2 linked regions of the Anolis sagrei genome follow. The protein of the gene in region 1 purifies or fractionates together with the protein of each later gene. This does not show direct contact. Links are inferred from orthologs where the notes say so. Each region holds a gene or a part of one and is shown on either strand. Other genes may lie near its edges. The genes, in order: NEK7 and ANKS6.

Region 1 (9,123 bases):
GATCACCAACCGAGGTGGCGGGGAAATCCCCAAGAGCCATCAGGAATCCTTCCGGATCCATAAGCCTCCTGGGGCGGACCAATTTAATAGGTCCTCCACCTCTGCGGAGGTTAGGGGGCGCAGTAAGTCTAAAGCTGACCAGGTGGTGGTCGGTCCATGGCAACGGAGAGATGGATAACTCCTCAACACCGCCACCTTCCTCCCATCCCTGGCAGAAAACCAAGTCCAATGTATGTCCAGCACTGTGGGTGGGGCCAGATACTTGTTGGGACAGACCCATGGTCGCCATGGTAGACATGAAGTCCTGAGCCGCTCCCGTTAGGGCAGCCTCGGCGTGGACGTTGAAGTCCCCCAGCACAAGCAGCCGTTGGGACTCCAATGCCAGGTCCGAGACTACCCCCGCTAGCTCAGGTAGGGAGACTGTAGTGCAGCGAGGTGGACGGTACACTAGCAGAATCCCTAATCTGTCCCGGTCACCCACCCTCAGGTGGACGCATTCAAAATTTGTTGACTGCGGGATGGGGGTCCTGTTCAGAGAAATGGAATCTCTATAGACTACTGCAACCCCGCCTCCCCGCCCTCCGGATCTCGGTTGATGCTGCACAGAGAACCCGGGTGGACAAAGCTGGGTCAAGTTTACACCTCCAGCTTCGTCTAGCCAGGTCTCTGTGATGCACGCCAGATCTGCCCGTTCATCCAGGATTAAATCCTGGATGAAAGTTGTTTTACCATTGACAGATCTGGCGTTCAACAGCACCACTTTCAATCCTGAGGGACCGCCATCCTGGTTACACCTACTTACCGTATCAGGAGACCGATTTGGGATTACTAATGTTGTTCCACGTTCCCTAGGCCGAATTAAAGGTCTCCTTTTCCCGTATCACCCCTTCCCCACCACGACTTCTATGGGGGCTCCTCGGTTAACGGAAGCCTCTCCCTCCTCCATGATGCATTTGATGCTTATAATAATAAACCAAGGATCATTGCGGTTTGCATGCCATGTTACAGTTTCAGTTTGCCATAGCTTTGCCTTCCAAGTGGTCTTCGGTCCTGTTAGGCTGTATTCGAGTTCCCTCGTGCTATTCCATTTCTTCTTACCCACATATGCAATTAGCAACCAAATTAACAGATGCCAAGAAGTAGATGGTGGCATGAGTAGTAATTGTTAAGCACAGTCAGGGCAGGGTTAAGCTGTTGAAATACAGATGGAAACTTATTTCAGCACAACACAGTAGAACAACAAATAAATGCGATGGCTTAAATTAACCCAAGGTGTTAACTAAAGTGCGTCATGGAGGCCTGATTCAACACTAGCTGTATCAATCGAATTAAAGTGCTATAGTTGGTTAAGTGCACAAAGAAGTAGTTTAAAGTGCTAATGGCATAAAGTGCAAGATCACAACAATTAATAAAATACACGATGTAACCAACTGGTCATGGAATCAAGATTAGTTAGCAACCATCAGGAACGGTCAGCACAAATTAAGATGGTCAACATAGACTGCAATAATAGTCAATAAAAGCAGAGGTAATTGGCACCGTCAAGAATGATTAGCACACTCAAAAATAGATAGCAAGGTTAAGAAAGATTAAGGTGCTAAAGCTCATATAAAATAATAGTCCACTGATGTAATAGGTTAAGGTGCTGATAGTATAAATGCTAGTAACCCACAAAATTGGAGACAATGAGATGCCGGAAGATGGCAATAATTAAACCAAAACAAGGATGGCCCACACGGTTTTCCGGATTTGGTGGGTTGCCCGGCGAGATGATAAAAACTCGAGCAATGGCGGCGGATTACTCCCAAAGGGATGGAGGAGCTGGGGCGCTGGGAAACGGCAGATCAGCGAACCGGCGCAATGAAGAACTCCCTCGAACGCCAGGCCGGACGTCCTTAATTGTTGGGCCGGAGCCGGAACGCCGGGCTGATGACCGAGCACCGGGTGGGTGACAGGAAGGGACGACCAAGTGTCCGGCAGAGCCGGGGCCAACGCGTCGGGCCACGGCAGGCAGCAAGCACACGGGAGACCGGCGCGCCAGAGATCGATGCGCCGGAGGCCCAACCAAGCGCCAAGTCGAACGGCAGCAACTGGGGCCGCGAAGGGTTGGCGGGGCAGGCGCGCCAAGGACCACAGCAACAGTTCCACAACGGAGGCCCTGCAGGACACCAGGCCAGAGGCACTAGCGGCCGATGGAATCGAGGCCAAACGCCGGCTGGGGTTATTGAAGGGTCGCGTCAATTGCCGCGGTAGCAGCACCGGCCGGGCAGGGGGCTACTCACCCTTCACAGCTCCCTGAGAAGGGGAAGGCTCCCACCGTGGCCTTAGCTACGATGATGGTGGTGGCAGTGTCAGCAGCAATGGCGGCAGCAGCTCTCACCCGGTTGCTTGTCCCCTCCCGGGGGCAGCTCTGCCGCGGCCCAATCGGATGGCAGAGTGGCGGTAAAGGCCCAGCTGGAACACGCGGCGCTCGCGGCGGCGGCCTCAGAGGCGGCTTTGGCAACAGCACAGGCCCTGACACGTCCCTCCTCAGCACTCTGAGGAGGGGATGGACTCTGGCAGCAATTTCGCTGCGGCAAGGGCGACCGCAGCAGCGGCAACAACAGCGGTCTGTCTGTCTATCTCCTCTCGGTCTCCAGCACTGAGTTCTCAAGAAGTAGCTACACAAATAGATGTCAAAGGAGCAACTTCGTAGGAGTAGCTCCAAGCACTGAGTTCTCCAGAAGCAGCTACACCAATAGATATCGAAGGAGCAACTTCGCAGGAGTAGCTCCAAGCACTGAGTTCTCAAGTTCTCAAGAAGCAGGCAGGATGATAGTAAGGTGCAGCTGGGAGGCAGAGGTTTTAAAGCCTCCTTTCCTGGCTTGCTTATCTCACCAGTGTGGAGGCGAGGCAGCCAGGACGCCGACCCTCTCCTGTTCTTGCAGGCCGAATGATATATATATGTATTGTGGATCGTGTTTTTATGCTTTTAAACTGTATACTGTTGTTTGTTATAAGTTATTGTAAACCGCGTTGAGTCGCCGGCTAGGCTGAGAAACGGCGGTATACAAGTATAGCAAATAAATAAATAAAAAGAAGAAAGTACAAAAGCTGGGTTGCAGCTAAACATCAAAAAAACCAAGATCATGGCAACAAGACTGATTGACAACTGGAAAATAGAAGGAGAAAATGTGGAGGCTGTGACAGACTTTGTATTTCTAGATGCAAAGATTACTGCAGATGCAGACTGTGCCCAGGAAATCAGAAGATGCTTACTTCTTGGGAGGAGAGCAATGTCCAGTCTCGATAAAATAGTAAAGAGTAGAGACATCACACTGGCAACAAAGATCCGCCTAGTCAAAGCCATGGTATTCCCTGTAGTAACCTATGGATGTGAGAGCTGGACCTTAGGGAAGGCTGAGCGAAGGAAGATAGATGCTTTTGAACTGTGGTGCTGGAGGAAAGTTCTGAGAGTGCCTTGGACTGCGAGAAGATCCAACCAGTCCATACTTCAGGAAATAAAGCCCGACTGCTCATTGGAGGGAAGGATACTAGAGACAAAGTTGAAGTACTTTGGCCACATCATGAGGAGACAGGAAAGCCTAGAGAAGACAATTATGCTGGGGAAAGTGGAAGGAAAAAGGAAGAGGTGCCGACCAAGGGCAAGATGGATGGATGGCATCCTTGAAGTGACTGGACTGACCTTGAATGAGCTGGGGGTGGTGACGGTCGACAGGGAGCTCTGGCATGGGCTGGTTCGTGAGGTCACGAAGAGTCGGAGACGACTGAACGAATGAACAACAATTGTACATTAAGCACATACAACTACAGTAGGATCATCTCAACTTGAATCCCATTCTTTCCTGGATCAAGTTTTTTGCATTGTTTATTACAGGTAAATTACTGCAACCCAACTCTGAAAAGCTGTATTTTTCCAGTCCTCTGTTGTCATTTCCCCAATGTCAATTCTACAAAAAGTTATGATCTCCAAAAGGTTATGAATGCCATTTTCCAAAATGGCAGTTGTTACTTACTTAGGCGATCCCTCGTTGGACGAGTAAGATGGTCTTCCATCATGGGTTTCCTTGTGGGTCCGTATGTGGCTGTGGAGCCCTATTCTTGCTCTGCATCTTCTTCCGCAGTGTGGGCATTGGTTTCCAGGTGGAAGGCGGTCCCGTTTGGGTTTGGCTTGACGCACCTTCCTCCTGGCACGTTTCTCTCTTTCACCCTCCACTCGTGCCTCCTCAAATTCTGCAGCACTGCTGGTCACAGCTGACCTCCAGCTGGAGCGCTCAAGGGCCAGGGCTTCCCAGTTCTCAGTGTCTATGCCAGAGTTTTTAAGGTTGGCTTTGAGCCCATCTTTAAATCTCTTTTCCTGTCCACCAACGTTCCGTTTTCCGTTCTTAAGTTCAGAGTAGAGCAACTGCTTTGGGAGACGGTGGTCAGGCATCCGAACAACGTGGCCGGCCCAGCGGAGTTGATGTTGGAGGACCATCGCTTCAATGCTGGTGGTCTTTGCTTCTTCCAGCACACTGACGTTTGTCCGCTTGTCTTCCCAGGAGATTTGCAGGATTTTCCGGAGGCAGCGCTGATGGAATCGTTCCAGGAGCTGTCTACTGTCTGTAGACAGTCCACGTTTCACAGGCATATAGCAGGGTTGGGAGGACAATAGCTTTATAGACAAGCACCTTGGTATCCCTACGGATGTCCCGGTCCTCAAACACTCTCTGCTTCATTCGGGAAAATGCTGCACTTGCAGAGCTCAGGCGGTGTTGTATTTCGGCGTCGATGTTGACTTTGGTGGAGAGGTGGCTGCCAAGGTAGCGGAAATGGTCAGCATTTTCTAATGTTACACCATTAAGCTATTTATTTATTTGTCGTGTCAGAGCAACCAGTCCATTATATATTACATTTCTAACAGAACAAAGCAAACAGACAGAAAAATACACATCTTGTGAGTTTGGTAGTTGGTTAAATGTCCTTTGACCAGTATCTGGCCATTAAGCTGTATCTCTGGCATTGGAGAGGGGATGGCTGGTGACTGCTGGATCAGCACTTTGGTTTTTTCGATGTTCAGTGACAGGCCAAGCTTCGTGTATGCTTCTGCAAAGGTGTTGAGAGTGGCTTGTAGATCTTCTTCTGTATGCGCACAGACGACATTGTCATCAGCATACTGGAGTTCTATAACAGCAGTTGTATAGTTAAGTTGTATCAAGTCTGTGGCCTTTTGGGCCACAAGGTGCTCCAAAAAGGATCCCAAGACCACTTTGACTAGGCCTCCTCAACCTGCAGCCCTTCAGCTGCTTGGACCTCCAATTCCCAGAAGCCTTTGCCAGCTTCCTCAATGGACAAGAATTGTGGGAAATGGAGGCCCAAACAGGCGCAGGGCCACAAGTGGAGGAGGAGGCCTAGTGAAAGAGCTGCCAAACTCCAGGCTGAGAGTCCCTCCCCGCCGGTCACGTGAGCGCGCTCTATGACGTAGTGCGGGGGTGACATTGGCGTCCTACTGGCCTCAACTTTTGTGATGTTTGAAAAGCGCTGCTTGCTGGCCTTTCTTTTTTTGGCGGGAAAAGGGGAAAATGGCCTGTAGAGAGATGAAGCGGCGGGGCGGACTCTTTCCTCTCTCTCCCTCCTCCTCCTCCTCCTTCTCGCCCCAACCGTACCGCACTTTGCAGGAAGTCCCGGCACTTCCTGCGAAGAGGGCCGGCTGAGGAGGAGGAGGAAGGAGAGAGGAGAGGAGAAGAGCGGAGGCGCGTCGGGCCTCCTCACGAGTAAGTAGGCGTCCCAAACGGGAATGGAGGCCTCCTTTCAAGTAGCTTCGTTGCTCTTCGTCACTTCAGCGCTTTCGAAGGGAAAACTATATTGGGAGAGAGTTGGCCAGGCCGTGGCTGAAGGCGGTGTGGCCAGCGATAGCTGACCTCATCCCCGAATAGAGCCAGAGCGCCTCCTCGGCCCAAAGCGCCTCCTCTGAGGGGAAACAAACAGCCCTCGCCGCCTGCCATTTCCACGCCCCTTTCTCCTCGGCCCAGGCGTCTGTTTACCTTCAGAGCGAGCGCCTTGTTTGTCAGTTATGCCCAGGGATCTTGTGGCACCTTTGAGGCTTCCCTAGGGTGTCTTTGCACAGGGGAATGGCTGCAGTTTGACACCACTTTCACTGTGGCCCCTTCTACACTACCATATACAATCCAGATTCTCTGCTTTGAACTAGATCAGGGCTCCTCAAACTTTAAACAGAGGTCACAGTTCCTCAAACTGTTGAAAGGCCAGATTATAATTGGAAAACAACATGAATGAATTCCTATGTATACTGCACATATCTTATTTGAGTGCAAAAAACACTTTAAAACAATAATTAAAATGAAGAACAATTTTAACAAATTAAAATAGCCTGTGCTATTCCATGGTATTCCCTGTAGTAACCTACGGATGTGAGAGCTGGACCTTAGGGAAGGCTGAGCGAAGGAAGATCGATGCTTTTGAGCTGTGGTGTTGGAGGAAAGTTCTGAGAGTGCCTTGGACTGCGAGAAGATCCAACCAGTCCATCCTCCAGGGAAAAAAGCCCGGCTGCTCATTGGAGGGAAAGATACTACAGACAAAGTTGAAGTACTTTGGCCACATCATGAGGAGACAGCAAAGCCTAGAGAAGACAATTATGCTGGGGAAAGTGGAAGGCAAAAGGAAGAGGGGCCAACCAAGGGCAAGATGGATGGATGGCATCCTTGAAGTGACTGCACTGACCTTGAAGGGGTTGGGGGTGGTGATGGCCAACAGGGAGCTCTGGCGTGGGCTGGTCCATGAGGTCACGAAGAGTCGGAGACGACTGAACGAATGAACAACAACAACAGAGAGAGGTCAACCTTCCTGTTTAAAGAGCTCCATTGGCTGCCGTTTACCTTCCGATCCCAATTCAAGGTGCAGGTGCTTACATACAAAGCCCTAAACGGTTTGGGACCTGCCTACCTGCGTGACCGCATCTCCGTTTATGAACCCACGCGTTCCCTTCGTTCATCCGGAGAGGCCCTGCTCGCGATCCTGCCTGTGTTGCAGGCACGTTTGGTGGGGACGAGGGACAGGGCCTTTTCTGTGGTTGCCCCCGACTTTGGAACACCCTCCCCAAAGAAATCAGACTAGCGCCCACATTGGCAGTCTTTAGGAAGAGCTTGAAGACCTGGCTTTTCCAATGTGCCTTTCTGGAATAGGAAAACTCCAGCATTATGTCCCAGAAGCACTTGCCCTGAAATCCAACATACCACCTGTCACACCCAGCACTTTTTAATCTGTACCCATTACGTGGCCCGGCCCTAGTTTTAATTGTGTTATGGTGTAATGTTTTGTTGTTCTATTGTTATTGCTTTATGTTTTTGATTTTGCTTTGAGTTGTATTTGTTATGCTGTTGTTTTGTTGAGGGCTTGGCCTTTGTAAACCGCATCAGTCCTTTGGGAGATGCTAAAGGTAAAGGTAAAGGTAGTCCCCTGACATTAAGTCCAGTCATGTCTGACTTTGGGGTGTGGTGCTCATCTCCATTTCTAAGCCGAAGAGCCAGCGTTGTCCGTAGACACCTCCAAGGTCATGTGGCCGGCATGACTGCATGGAGCGCCGTTACCTTCCCGCCGGAGTGGTACCTATTGATCTACTCACATTTGCATGTTTTCGAACTGCTAGGTTGGCAGAAGCTAGGGCTGACAGCGGAAGCTCACGCCGCTCCCCGGAATCGAACCTGCGACCTTTCTATCAACAAGCTCAGCAGCTCAGTGCTTTAACCCACTGCACCACCGGGGGCTCCTTGGGAGATGCTAGCGGGGTACAAATAAAGTTAATAATAACAATATTGTATATACATATAATATTTATAATATAATAATAATAATAAAAAACCTTTATTTATACCCCTCTAACATCTCCTGAAGGGCTCGGTGCGGCTTACAAGAGGCCAAGGCCCAATACATCAGTAAAACAACAGCATAACAAATACAACAATAAATAAACTCATAAAACAAAGCAATAAACATTAAAACAATAGCAATAACCATTAGACAATAACACCACAACACATTTAAAAACTAAGGCCGGGCCAAATGTAATGATTAAAGAATTTAAAATGCTGGACATGACCAGGTGAAATGGATAGGTTTTTGGAGATTAGGTGCGGTATACACCTAATATTTTGGGTTATATGGCTGTGTGGGTTATATGGCTGTGTGGAAGGGTCCAACAAGGGGCCTCATATAATCCTGCTCAAAGCATATGACCTGGGATCAGATCCTGGGATATCAGGCAGTGAAGATCCAGCCTTTAACTGCCAAAGGTCCATCTTGTTCGTTCTGGTAACAGACATAAACATCCTATGAAGCCACAAATCCCTTATTTGTATTGTCATGAGTCATTGCAGTTTATGCAGTGCCAAACTGCTTTCATTCTGCAGTATGGCTTCAGCTTTGGGGTGCATTCTCAACTGGAGAATCAATGCAGTTTGACCCCACTTGCCATGTCTCAATGCTGCAGAATTCTGGGATTTGTGGTTTGGTGAGGCACCAGGATTCTTTAACAAACAAGGCTAAAGATCTTGAAAAACCATGACTCCGGGGGTTCTACAGTTTTGAGCGGTGCCAGTTAAATGGCAATAATTCTGCAGTATAGATAGCCTATTAGGTCTATTTCCTCAGAAGCATCTGCTTTTGCACTGCAACTTCTTTCTCCCAGTGGCTGTAGTCTCAAAGGTGCAACAAGGTCCCTTTGGATACTGACATCTCTGACTCACTTGGCTATGTGTTTGAAACTTGTTTATAAATTAGTCACCGGATGAAAATAAATGGTAAATTGTGATCACTTTCAAAACAAGCAGGCAGATTTTTACAAGTCAACTTTTTGATGTGCTTTGTCGCATACTGTTCCTACCACAGAATGTGGTAGGAATTAACAATCCCCTTTAATAGAGAACAGGTGGGCAATTTGTAGTTTTCCAGGTGCTGTTGGTTGTAATTCCCATCAGCCTTGGCTAATAATAAAGGATTATGGGAGCTGCTGGCAAACAGTATGTAGAAGGCCACAAGATGGCTATCTCTGATGCGGAGCATATAAATTTGATGAAACTATAGAATTAAACAGCAACAGTAAGCATCAAACTGCTGTGTATCAGAAAT
Region 2 (9,924 bases), about 6.1 Mb from region 1:
TAGCGTTCTGCAATCAGCGTAGCACTACTCGCACTCAGTCCCAGCTATCATACTTTTACCCTGCTTTGAACTGGATTATCTGAGTCCACACTGCCATATATTCCAAATTCAAAGCAGATCAATGTGGGGTTTTCTTCAGCTGTGTGGAAGGGGCCTCAGATCACCCAGTTCAAAGCAGCTCTTGTGGGATGTTCTGCCTGGATATTCTGCATGGAAGGGCCCCAAGTTCCAAGCAGTGGTGGTCTAGGAAGGCGCCTCCTCCAGGGAAGGGACTCACTGCAGGTGGCGGCGCTCGGGGAGGCGGCGGTGGAGGGAGATGCGGTCGCTGAGGTAAATGTTGATCTGGTGGCGGGCCACGCTCTCCTCCTGCCGCCGCTGCTCCTCCTCGCTCAGCTCCAGCCGCGCCGCCCGGCCCAGCTCGCCCAGCTCCGTCTCCTGGCCCAGCGGCGGCTTCTCGTACACGGGCCGGCGGAGGAGACGATGAGACAACACCGAAGAAGAAGAAGAGGGCGCCGCCACCGCCGCGCCACCACCCCCTCCTCCGCCTGGGCCCGGCTCCGAGTCGGGAGGGCCCCGTTGCCACAGCAACAGCAAGCCCAGCGCCCCCAGCCCCGCCGCCAAGGCCGCGGCCACTGCTAGCGCGCGCTCTCCCCCGCGAGGGGCACGCACGCGCCGGCCCCGTCGCATCCCCAGCGCCTGCGCCCCTCAGGCAAGGCCCGCGAGGCCAGGAACGGGAGGGGGCGGGGCCGAAGGGGCGGAGCAAGAAAGGAAGGAAGGTGCTCGCCCCGCCCCCCGGCCTGCCTTCTGCGCGCGATCGCTGCGCGCGCGCCTCGCCTGCTTCAGAACTTCCGCCAGGAACCTAGTGGGAGCAGAGCGCGTGCCCCCCTCCTGAGAGGAGAGCGCGTGCCTCGCTGCCTGTAAAGCCTGCTTGCTCTCCCCTCTGGGATCCTTTTGCGGATATCAACGTAGTTGAAAGATTGCTCTCCCCTGCTTGCATTTCCCTCTTTTAAATCAGGTTCTGATGGGGGAATACAGTTGCACTGCTAATTATCACTACCTAACACGATTTTTGTTCCTGGCTTTTAGTTTTTGCAGTTTAATAAACTTTTTCCATGTTTTGATGATAGAATCAATTAAGAAATTACATTTATAACCAAGGAACAAAAATCACATTACATAGAGAGGGCCCTTCCAGACAGGCGCTATATTCCAAGATCTGATCCCAGGTTTTATATGAGTCCGTACTGCCAGATAATCTAAGATAAACAGAAAACGTGGCATGAGATCCTGGAATAAAGGGCGTGTCTGGAAGGGCTCATAGTGTAATGGATTGGACACCTATTAGATAGGGAAGAATTCCAGTAATCTTTATATATAAAATCTATAAATCCCAGCAACTACAACTCCCAAATGACAAAATCATTTTTTTAGTGATTGTCACTCACTGGGTTGTTAGGTGTATTCTGTCCAAATTTGGTGTCAATTTGTCCAGTGGTTTTTGAGTTATGTTAATCCCACAAACGAACATTACATTTCTAGGTTCTTGTGGGTTTTTTTCGGGCTATAGCGCCATGTTCTAGAGGCATTTCTCCTGACGTTTCGCCTGCATCTATGGCAAGCATCCTCAGAGGTACCTCTGAGGATGCTTGCCATAAATGCAGGCGAAACGTCAGGAGAAATGCCTCTAGAACATGGCCCTATAGCCCGAAAAAAACCCCACAAGAACCTAGTGATTCCAGCCATGAAAGCCTTCGACAATACATTACATTTCTATTTATATATACTACTAGCCATCCCTTGCCACGCGTTGCTGTGGTCCAGTTTCGTGAGCTGGAAAATAAAGTAATGGGAAAGTGTGGTTTCTAATACATGTAATGTCTTGATGTTTGTGAGTTAAAAGTATTTCTTGTTGTTTCTTTGTCAGTGTTGATGTGGAGATTGTCTGGTTTGCCTACTCTGGAACATGCAACATATAATTGTTCTTCTTTAGGGCTCCCTTTCAAATCTATGATACTATATCTGTTTGTGTGTCAATCATATATATCTATCTATCAGGAGCCCCCGGTGGTGCAGTGGGTTAAAGCCCTGTGCTGGCAGGACTGAAGACCGACAGGTCGCAGGTTCGAATCCGGGGAGAGGTGGATAAGCTCCCTCTATCAGCTCCAGCTCCTCATGCGGGGACATGAGAGAAGCCTCCGACAAGGATGATAAATCATCCGGGCGTCCCCTGGGCAACGTCCTTGCAGACGGCCAATTCTTTCCTGACACAACCTACCTACCTATCTACCTACCTATCTATGGCTGGATGGCTCTTTGTCAGGAGGGCTTTGATTGCGTTTTCTTGCCCTGGTGAAGGGAGTTGGACTGGATGGCCGTAAATATTTTCTGTTGGTCATGGGGGTTCTGTGTGGGAAGTTTGCCACAATTCAGTCGTTGGTGAAGTTCAGAATGCCCTTTGATTGTAGGTAAACTATAATCCCAGTAACTACAACTCCCAAATGTCAAGGTCTATTTTCCCCAAACTCCATCTGTGTTCATATTTGGGCATATGGAGTATTCGTGCCAAGTTTGGTTCAGATCCATCATTGTTTGAGTCCAAACTGTTCTCTGGATGTAGGTGAACTACAACTCCCAAACTCAAGGTCAATGCCCACCAAACCTTTCTAGTGTTTTCTGTTGGTCATGGGAGTCCTGTGTGTCAATTCCATCATTGGTGGAGTTCAGAATGCTCTTTGATTATAAGTAAATTATAAATCCCAGCAACTACACCTCCCAAATGACAAAATATTTTTGAGTGATAGTCATTCCTTGGGTTAGTAGGTGTCTTGTGGCCAAATTTGGTGTCAATTTGTCCAGTGGTGTTTGAGTTATATTAATCCCACAAACGAATATTACATTTTTATTGATATAGATTACTAGCTGTCCCCTGCCACGCATTGCTGTGGCCCAGTCTGGTGATCTGGAAAATGAAGTAATGAGAAAGTGTTGGTTTGTAATATTTGTAATTTCTTTATGCTTGTGGGTAAATAGTATTTCTTGCTGTTTCTTTGTCAGTGTGGATGTGGAGATTATCTGGTTTGCCTACTCTTGAACATGCAACATATAATTGTCCTTCTTTAGGGCTCCCTTTCAAATCTATGATACTATATCTGTGTGTGTGTCAATCATATATATCTATCTATATCTATGGCTGGATGGCTCTTTGTCAGGAGGGCTTTGATTACGTTTTCTTGCCCTGGTGAAAGGAGTTGGACTGGATGGCCTTAAGTATTTTCTGTTGGTCAAGCGGGTTCTGTGTGGGAAGTTTGCCACAATTCAGTCATTGATGAGGTTCAGAATGCTCTTTGATTGTAGGTAAACTATAATCCCAGTAACTACAACTCCCAAATGTCAAGGTCTATTTTCCCCAAACTCCATCTGTGTTCATATTTGGGCATATGGAATATTCATGCCAAGTTTGGTCCAGATCCATCACTGATTGAATCCATGGTAGTACCTGGATGTAGGGGAACTACAACTCCCAAACTCAAGGTCAATGCCCACCAAACCTTTCTAGTGTTTTCTGTTTGTCATGGGAGTCCTGTATGCCAATTCCATCATTGGTGGAGTTGAGAATGTTCTTTGAGTGTAAGTAAATCATAAATCCCAGCAACTACAACTCCCAAATGACAAAATATTTTTAGTGATGGTAATTCCTTGGGTTAGTAGGTGTCTTGTGGCCAAATTTAGCCACAATTTGTCCAGTGGTTTTTGAGTTATGTTAATCCTACAAACGAACATTACATTTGTATTTATATAGATGATGTGCAATGGAACTAAAAATTAGTGTTGGCAAAACAGATGGTGTCACAACAGCTGAGATGTATTGAAAAGTCATGCCAAATTCTTTGAGTTGCTAATGTGTACCTAACAATTCTCACAACCTTTATTTTCTTTTACTGAACCAATGTCTTAGTACATTTTTACAGACAGGCCAATTAACATTGCTTCACGCTGTAACGGCTGCTTATCCTTCGAGCAAAAAATTAAAATAAGTACATTTTTAGGCTTGGTTTAACATTAAACATATTCAATCTGATCTCTCCCTCAGGGCCTTGAACATTTCCCAATGCAAACAGCTCTATGCAAATCATCTTATTTAAAAACAATTCAAGCCAACATTTCCCAGAGAACCCATATCACAAATGATCAGGCACCTTGGCTATCTTTAGAATGAATGCAGCTTGCCACCACTTTTAAGTGCCATCATGGCTCAATGCTATGGCATCCTGGCCTCCCTTTTTCCATGAAAGTGCTTAAATGCAGGGAAATTGGAGGCAGGGACAGCCCTGGAGGGGTTGAGATGTCTGGCAGGGAAACAAGGAGACAACTGCAAGAAGAGCTGCTCCTGGTGACTCTGGTAGCAATTAAGTCAAACATGACCTCCCCCCCCCCCCCAGGTGGGTACAGCTAGTAGGGCATTAAAACCTTGATTAAATGATACACACTATCCAACATGGGAAGGGTCCATGTTGTTGTTGTTAGTGTCTTGGCAAATTGACCAAGGCTCAACCCTTATTATCCAGTCTGGTGTCCTTGTCCTTAGCAAAACTATAAGTTACTATCTTTTATTTATGATGGTTGTGGGAGTGATCCAGCATTTCTGTGTTCTTGAATAATATGCTGTGTCCGGGTTGGTTCATCAGGTGCTCTGCTCCAACAACCACCATGTCAGACTATTTATTTATTTATTTATTTATTTATTTATTTTACTTTGCTTGTATACCGCAATTTCTCAGCCTTGTAGGCGACTCAACACGGTTTACAACAAGAGCAAAAGTCAATCCAACAGCATACAAAATTTAAAAACCATTAACAGCATAATATACAAAATGACACATCAATAACAACACATTAACGTCTCGTAACTAGAATCGTGATCCAATTCGTCTTCCATAATTCTGTTTCCTATATTCATCGTGTACATTGCATTGTTTAACCGAACGCCTGTTCGAACAGCCAGGTTTTTAGGTTTCTTCGAAACACCATTAACGAAGGGGCTGATCTAATGTCCATGGGAAGGGCGTTCCACAGCCGAGGGGCCACCACAGAAAAGGCCCTGTCCCTCGTCCCCGCCAGCCGTGCCTGTGATGCAGGCGGGATCGAGAGCAGGGTCTCCCCAGAAGATCTTAGAGTCCTGGTGGGTTCATAAGCAGAGATACGTTCGGATAGGTAGCTTGGGCCAGAACCGTTTAGGGCTTTAAAGGCCAACGCCAGCACTTTGAATTGAGCCCAGTAGCAAATCGGCAGCCAGTGAGCTGGTGCAGCAAAGGAGTTGTATGCTCCCTGCGCTCCGCTCCTGTTAGTATCATGGCTGCCGCACGTTGGACTAGTTGGAGCTTCCGAGCCGTCTTCAAAGGCAACCCCACATAGAAAGCGTTGCAGTAGTCTAAACGGGATGTAATCAGAGCGTGGACTACCGTGGCCAAGTCAGACTTCCCAAGGTAAGGACGCAGCTGGCGCACGAGCTTTAACTGTGCAAATGCTCCCCTGGTCACCGCCGAAACCTGGGGTTCCAGGCTCAGTGATGAGTCCAAGATCTACACAGAGAAGCCACTGAAATCCACAAGCATGTGGACAATTTCAACAGAAAGGAGGAGACCATGAAAATGAACAAAATCCGGCTACCAGTATTAAAAAACTCTAAAATTAGAACAGCACAACAACAGAGAGGAAACAAACAAGGACATCTAATCACCTCTCAACAAAAGACTGCTCCAGGCACTGCCAGGCAATCAAATGCTAATCAAGGTGGTCAGTTGAAACATTCACACCTAGCTCCAGCAGACAAGAGGCCTTTGTCTCACCCTGGTCATTCCACAGATATATAAACCCTTTCTCCTAGTTCCAACAGACCTCTACTACCTCTGAGGATGCTTGCCATAGATGCAGGGGAAACGTCAGGAGAGAATGCCTCTAGACCATGGCCATATAGCCCGAAAAAACCTACAACAAACCAGTGATTCCGGCCATGAAAGCCTTCGACAATACATTATAGAAGATTGCTCTATCCATCTACCTATCTTCCTCCATGCGTGTGTTTGTATGTCTGTATGTATCTCACTGTCCATCTGCCCATGCTTGGACCATAGAGGAGACCAGGCCGAGCTCCCACGACAAGCCCCTGCCCCCGCCCACCCCGCTCTAAGCCCCGCCCCCTTTCGAATCTTTCCCTCCCGGGAGGCGTGGCCACGACGGCGGCTGGCCGGATGGGGGAGAGCGGGGTGCCTGCGGGGGCCCAGCTGCTGCTCCGTGCCTGCGACCAGGGCGACTGCGAGAGCGCCCGCCGCCTCCTGCTTCCGGCTCCAGGCACCCCGGCGGAAGAGGCCGAAGCCGAGGCCGGCTCTGCGGCAGCGGCGGGGGCGCCTGCGGGGGGCTTGGTGCCCGTGGACTGCGCCGACGAGGCCGGCAACACGGGGCTGCAGTTCGCGGCGGCCGGCGGGCACGAGGAGCTGGTGGGCTTCCTCCTGCGGAGGGGCGCCTCGGTGCAGAGCCGCAACCACTGCGGGTGGAGCCCGCTCATGCAGGCCGCCAGGTCAGGACCGCGCTGGGAAGGAAGGAGGGAGGGAGGGGTACCATCTAACGGGGCGGCCCATCTCTCCTTGGCCCAGGAGCAGGCCCGCTTTCAAGGGAAGGCCTTTCAAGGAAGGCCCCACAGCGCCCTCTGCCGGCCGATGGGAAAAGCTCAGCCCTGGGTTAATGATTTGCTTCCCACTGAACCAAGTGGTGCGTGATCCCTGCCTGAAGAGCACTGAGACCCCTTCCACATCTGCATAAAATCCACATTGAACTGGATTATATGGCAGTGTGGACTCAGATAACCCAGTTCAAAGCAGATACTGTAGCTTATCTGCCTTGATATTCAGGGTTATATGGCAGTGTGGAGGGGCCTTGACTCTCTGCTATGAAAAGGAATGAAACCCACAGATCAGGCTTCCTCCAGCTACACAACTCCAGCTGTTTGGGACTCCAGCTCCCAGAATTCCTGACCATTGAACAATATGGCTAGAGCTCCTAGGAGTTGCTAATAATTTATCGTGTCAGGCAACCAAACAGTTGTATTATTATTATTATTATTAAACTTTATTTGTACCCCGCTAGCATCTCCCGAGGGATTCGATGCGGCTTACATCAGGCCGAAGCCCAGCACAACACAATACACAATACAATACATAGCAAAAAACACAGTTAAAGCAAAGAACAATAGCAATAACAATACAACAAGACGTTATTAAAAACTTAGTCGGCTGGCGTGGGGTACAGGGTTAAAAGTGCTGAAAAAAGTGTCGAAGGGATATAAGATTAAAGTATAAGTGCGGTGTGCGTTGAGAATGATCTTGACTCTACTAAAGTGCTTCTGGGCTTTGGTAGTGGGGATTCCTAATCTGAGAAGGCACGTTGGAATAGCCAGGTTTTCAGGTTTTTTCTAAAGACCGCCAAGGTGGGGGCCTGTCTGAGATCTTTCGGGAGGGCATTCCAGAGGCGGGGGGCCACCACAGAGAAAGCCCTGTCCCGCGTCCCCACCAAACGCGCCTGCGAGGCGGGTGGGATCACGAGCAGGGCCTCTCCTGATGACCGGAGCGAGTGTGTGGGTTCGTAGACTGTGATGCGGTCTCGTATTACATTTTTGACAGAACAAACAAACACAGGCTTTCATGGCTGGAATCACTAGGTTCTTGTGGGGTTTTTTCGGGCTATATGGCCATGTTCTAGAGCAGTGGTTCTCAACCTTCCTAATGCCGCGACACCTTAAGACAGTTCCTCATGTTGTGGTGACCCCCAACCAGCAAATTATTTTCATGACAAATTTGGCAAAATTACTCGATACACCCAAATTTGAACACTGGTGGTGTTGGGTGGGGGATTGATTTTGTCATTTGGGAGTTGTCGTTGCTGGGATTTATAGTTCACCTACAATCAAAGAGCATTCCAAACTCCACCAATGATGGAATTGAACCAAACTTGGCACACAGAATTCCCATTACCAACAGAAAATACTGGAAGGGTGGGATGGGCATTGACTTTGAGTTTTGGAGTTGTAGTTCACCTACATCCAGAGAGCACTGTGGATTCAAACAATAATGAATCTGGACCAAATTTGACATGAAAATCAATATGCCCAAATGTGAACTCTGCTGGAGTTTGGGGAAAAATAGACCTTGACATTGGGAGTTGTAGTTACTGGGATTTATAGTTCACCTACAATCAAAGAGCATCCTGAACCCCACCGAGGTTAGAATTGGGCCAAACTTCCAACACAGAACCCCCATGACTAACAGAAAATACTGTGTCTTTGGCGACCCCTCTGACACCCCCTTGCGACCCCTCCAGGGGTCCCAACCCCCAGGTTGAGAAATGCTGTTCTAGAGGCATTTTCTCCTAACGTTTCGCCTGCATCTATGGCAAGCATCTTCAGAGGTAGTGAGTTCACTACCTCTGAAGATGCTTGCCATAGATGCAGGAGAAACGTTAGGAGAAAATGCCTCTAGACCAGGGGTCCTCAAACTAAGGCCCGGGGGCCGGATGCGGCCCTCCAAGGTCATTTACCCGGCCCTCACTTAGGGTCAACCTAAGTCTGAAACGACTTGAAAGCACATAACAACAACAATCCTATCTCATCAGCCAAAAGCAGGCCCACATTTCCCATTGAAATACGAATAAATTTATATTTGTTAACATTGTCCCTCATTTTAATTATTGTATTGTTTTAAAGTGTTTTTTACACTACAAATAATGTATGTGCAGCGTGCATAGGAATTCATATTTTTTTTCAAATTATAATCTGCCCCCCTAGCAGTTTGAGGGACTGTGACCTGGCCCTCTGTTTAAAAAGTTTGAGGACCTCTGCTCTAGAACATGGCCATATAGCCCGAAAAAAACCCACAAGAACCAAACAAACAAACATACAAAAGACACAGTTTGCAAGCTTGGTAGTTGATTAAATGTCCTTTGACCAGTATCTGGCCACTTGGAATGCCTCTGGTGTTGCCGCAAAAAGGTCCTCCATTGTGCATGTAGAAGGGCTCATGTTGCATTGCATTGTCTGTGGTTTGCTTTTTTTCTCCACACTCGCATGTCGTGATTTCCACTTTGTAGCCCCATTTCTTAAGGTTGGCTCTGCATCTCATGGTGCCAGAGCGCAGTCTGTTCAGCACCTTCCAAGTCGCCCAGTCTTCTGTGTACCCAGGGGAGAGTCTCTCATCTGGTATCACACACGGATTGAGGTTCTGGGTTTGAGCCTGCCACTTTTGGACTCTCGCTTGCTGAGGTGTTCCAGCGAGTGTCTCTGTAGATCTAAGAAAACTATTTCTTGATTTAAGTCATTGACGTGCTGGCTGATACCCAAACAAGGGATGAGCTGGAGATGTCTCTGCATTGGTCCTTTCACTATTGGCTGCTACTTCCCAGCAGATGTCAGGTGGTGCAATACCGGCTAAGCAGTGTAATTTCTCCAGTGGTGTAGTGCGCAGACACCCCGTGATAATGCGGCATGTCTCATTAAGAGCCACATCCACTGTTTTAGTGTGGTGGGATGTGTTCCACACTGGGCATGCATACTGAGCAGCAGAGTAGCATAGCGCAAGGGCAGATGTCTTCACTGTGTCTGGTTGTGATCCCCAGGTTGTGCCAGTCAGCTTTCGTATGATATTGTTTCTAGCACCCACTTTTTGTTTGATGTTCAGGCAGTGCTTCCTGTAGGTCAGAGCACGGTCCACAGTGACTCCCAGGTATTTGGGTGCGTTGCAATTAAAAAGGTAGAGATTTTCCCCTGACATGAAGTCCAGTCATGTCTGACTCTGGGGCATGGTGCTCATCTCCATTTCTAAGCCAAAGAGCCGGCATTGTCCGTAGACACCTCCAAGGTCATGACTGCATGGAGCGTCA

What was found.
Region 2: the proteins of NEK7 (region 1) and ANKS6 purify together in Homo sapiens (affinity purification with mass spectrometry; 3 studies listed by BioGRID and IntAct, with this or other methods). This does not show direct contact. The link is inferred for Anolis sagrei from reciprocal best matches to the Homo sapiens genes NEK7 and ANKS6.

The regions. Positions count from the first base shown.
Region 1 is NC_090024.1:110,500,722-110,509,844, forward strand, and holds the start of NEK7 (serine/threonine-protein kinase Nek7), read left to right. Parts: upstream 1-5,475; 5' UTR 5,476-5,753; intron 5,754-9,123. UniProt on the Homo sapiens protein: Protein kinase which plays an important role in mitotic cell cycle progression. Required for microtubule nucleation activity of the centrosome, robust mitotic spindle formation and cytokinesis.
Region 2 is NC_090024.1:104,440,706-104,450,629, reverse strand, and holds the start of ANKS6 (ankyrin repeat and SAM domain-containing protein 6), read left to right. Parts: upstream 1-6,239; 5' UTR 6,240-6,248; coding exon 6,249-6,574; intron 6,575-9,924. Other genes in the region: GALNT12 (polypeptide N-acetylgalactosaminyltransferase 12), read right to left, coding at 278-687.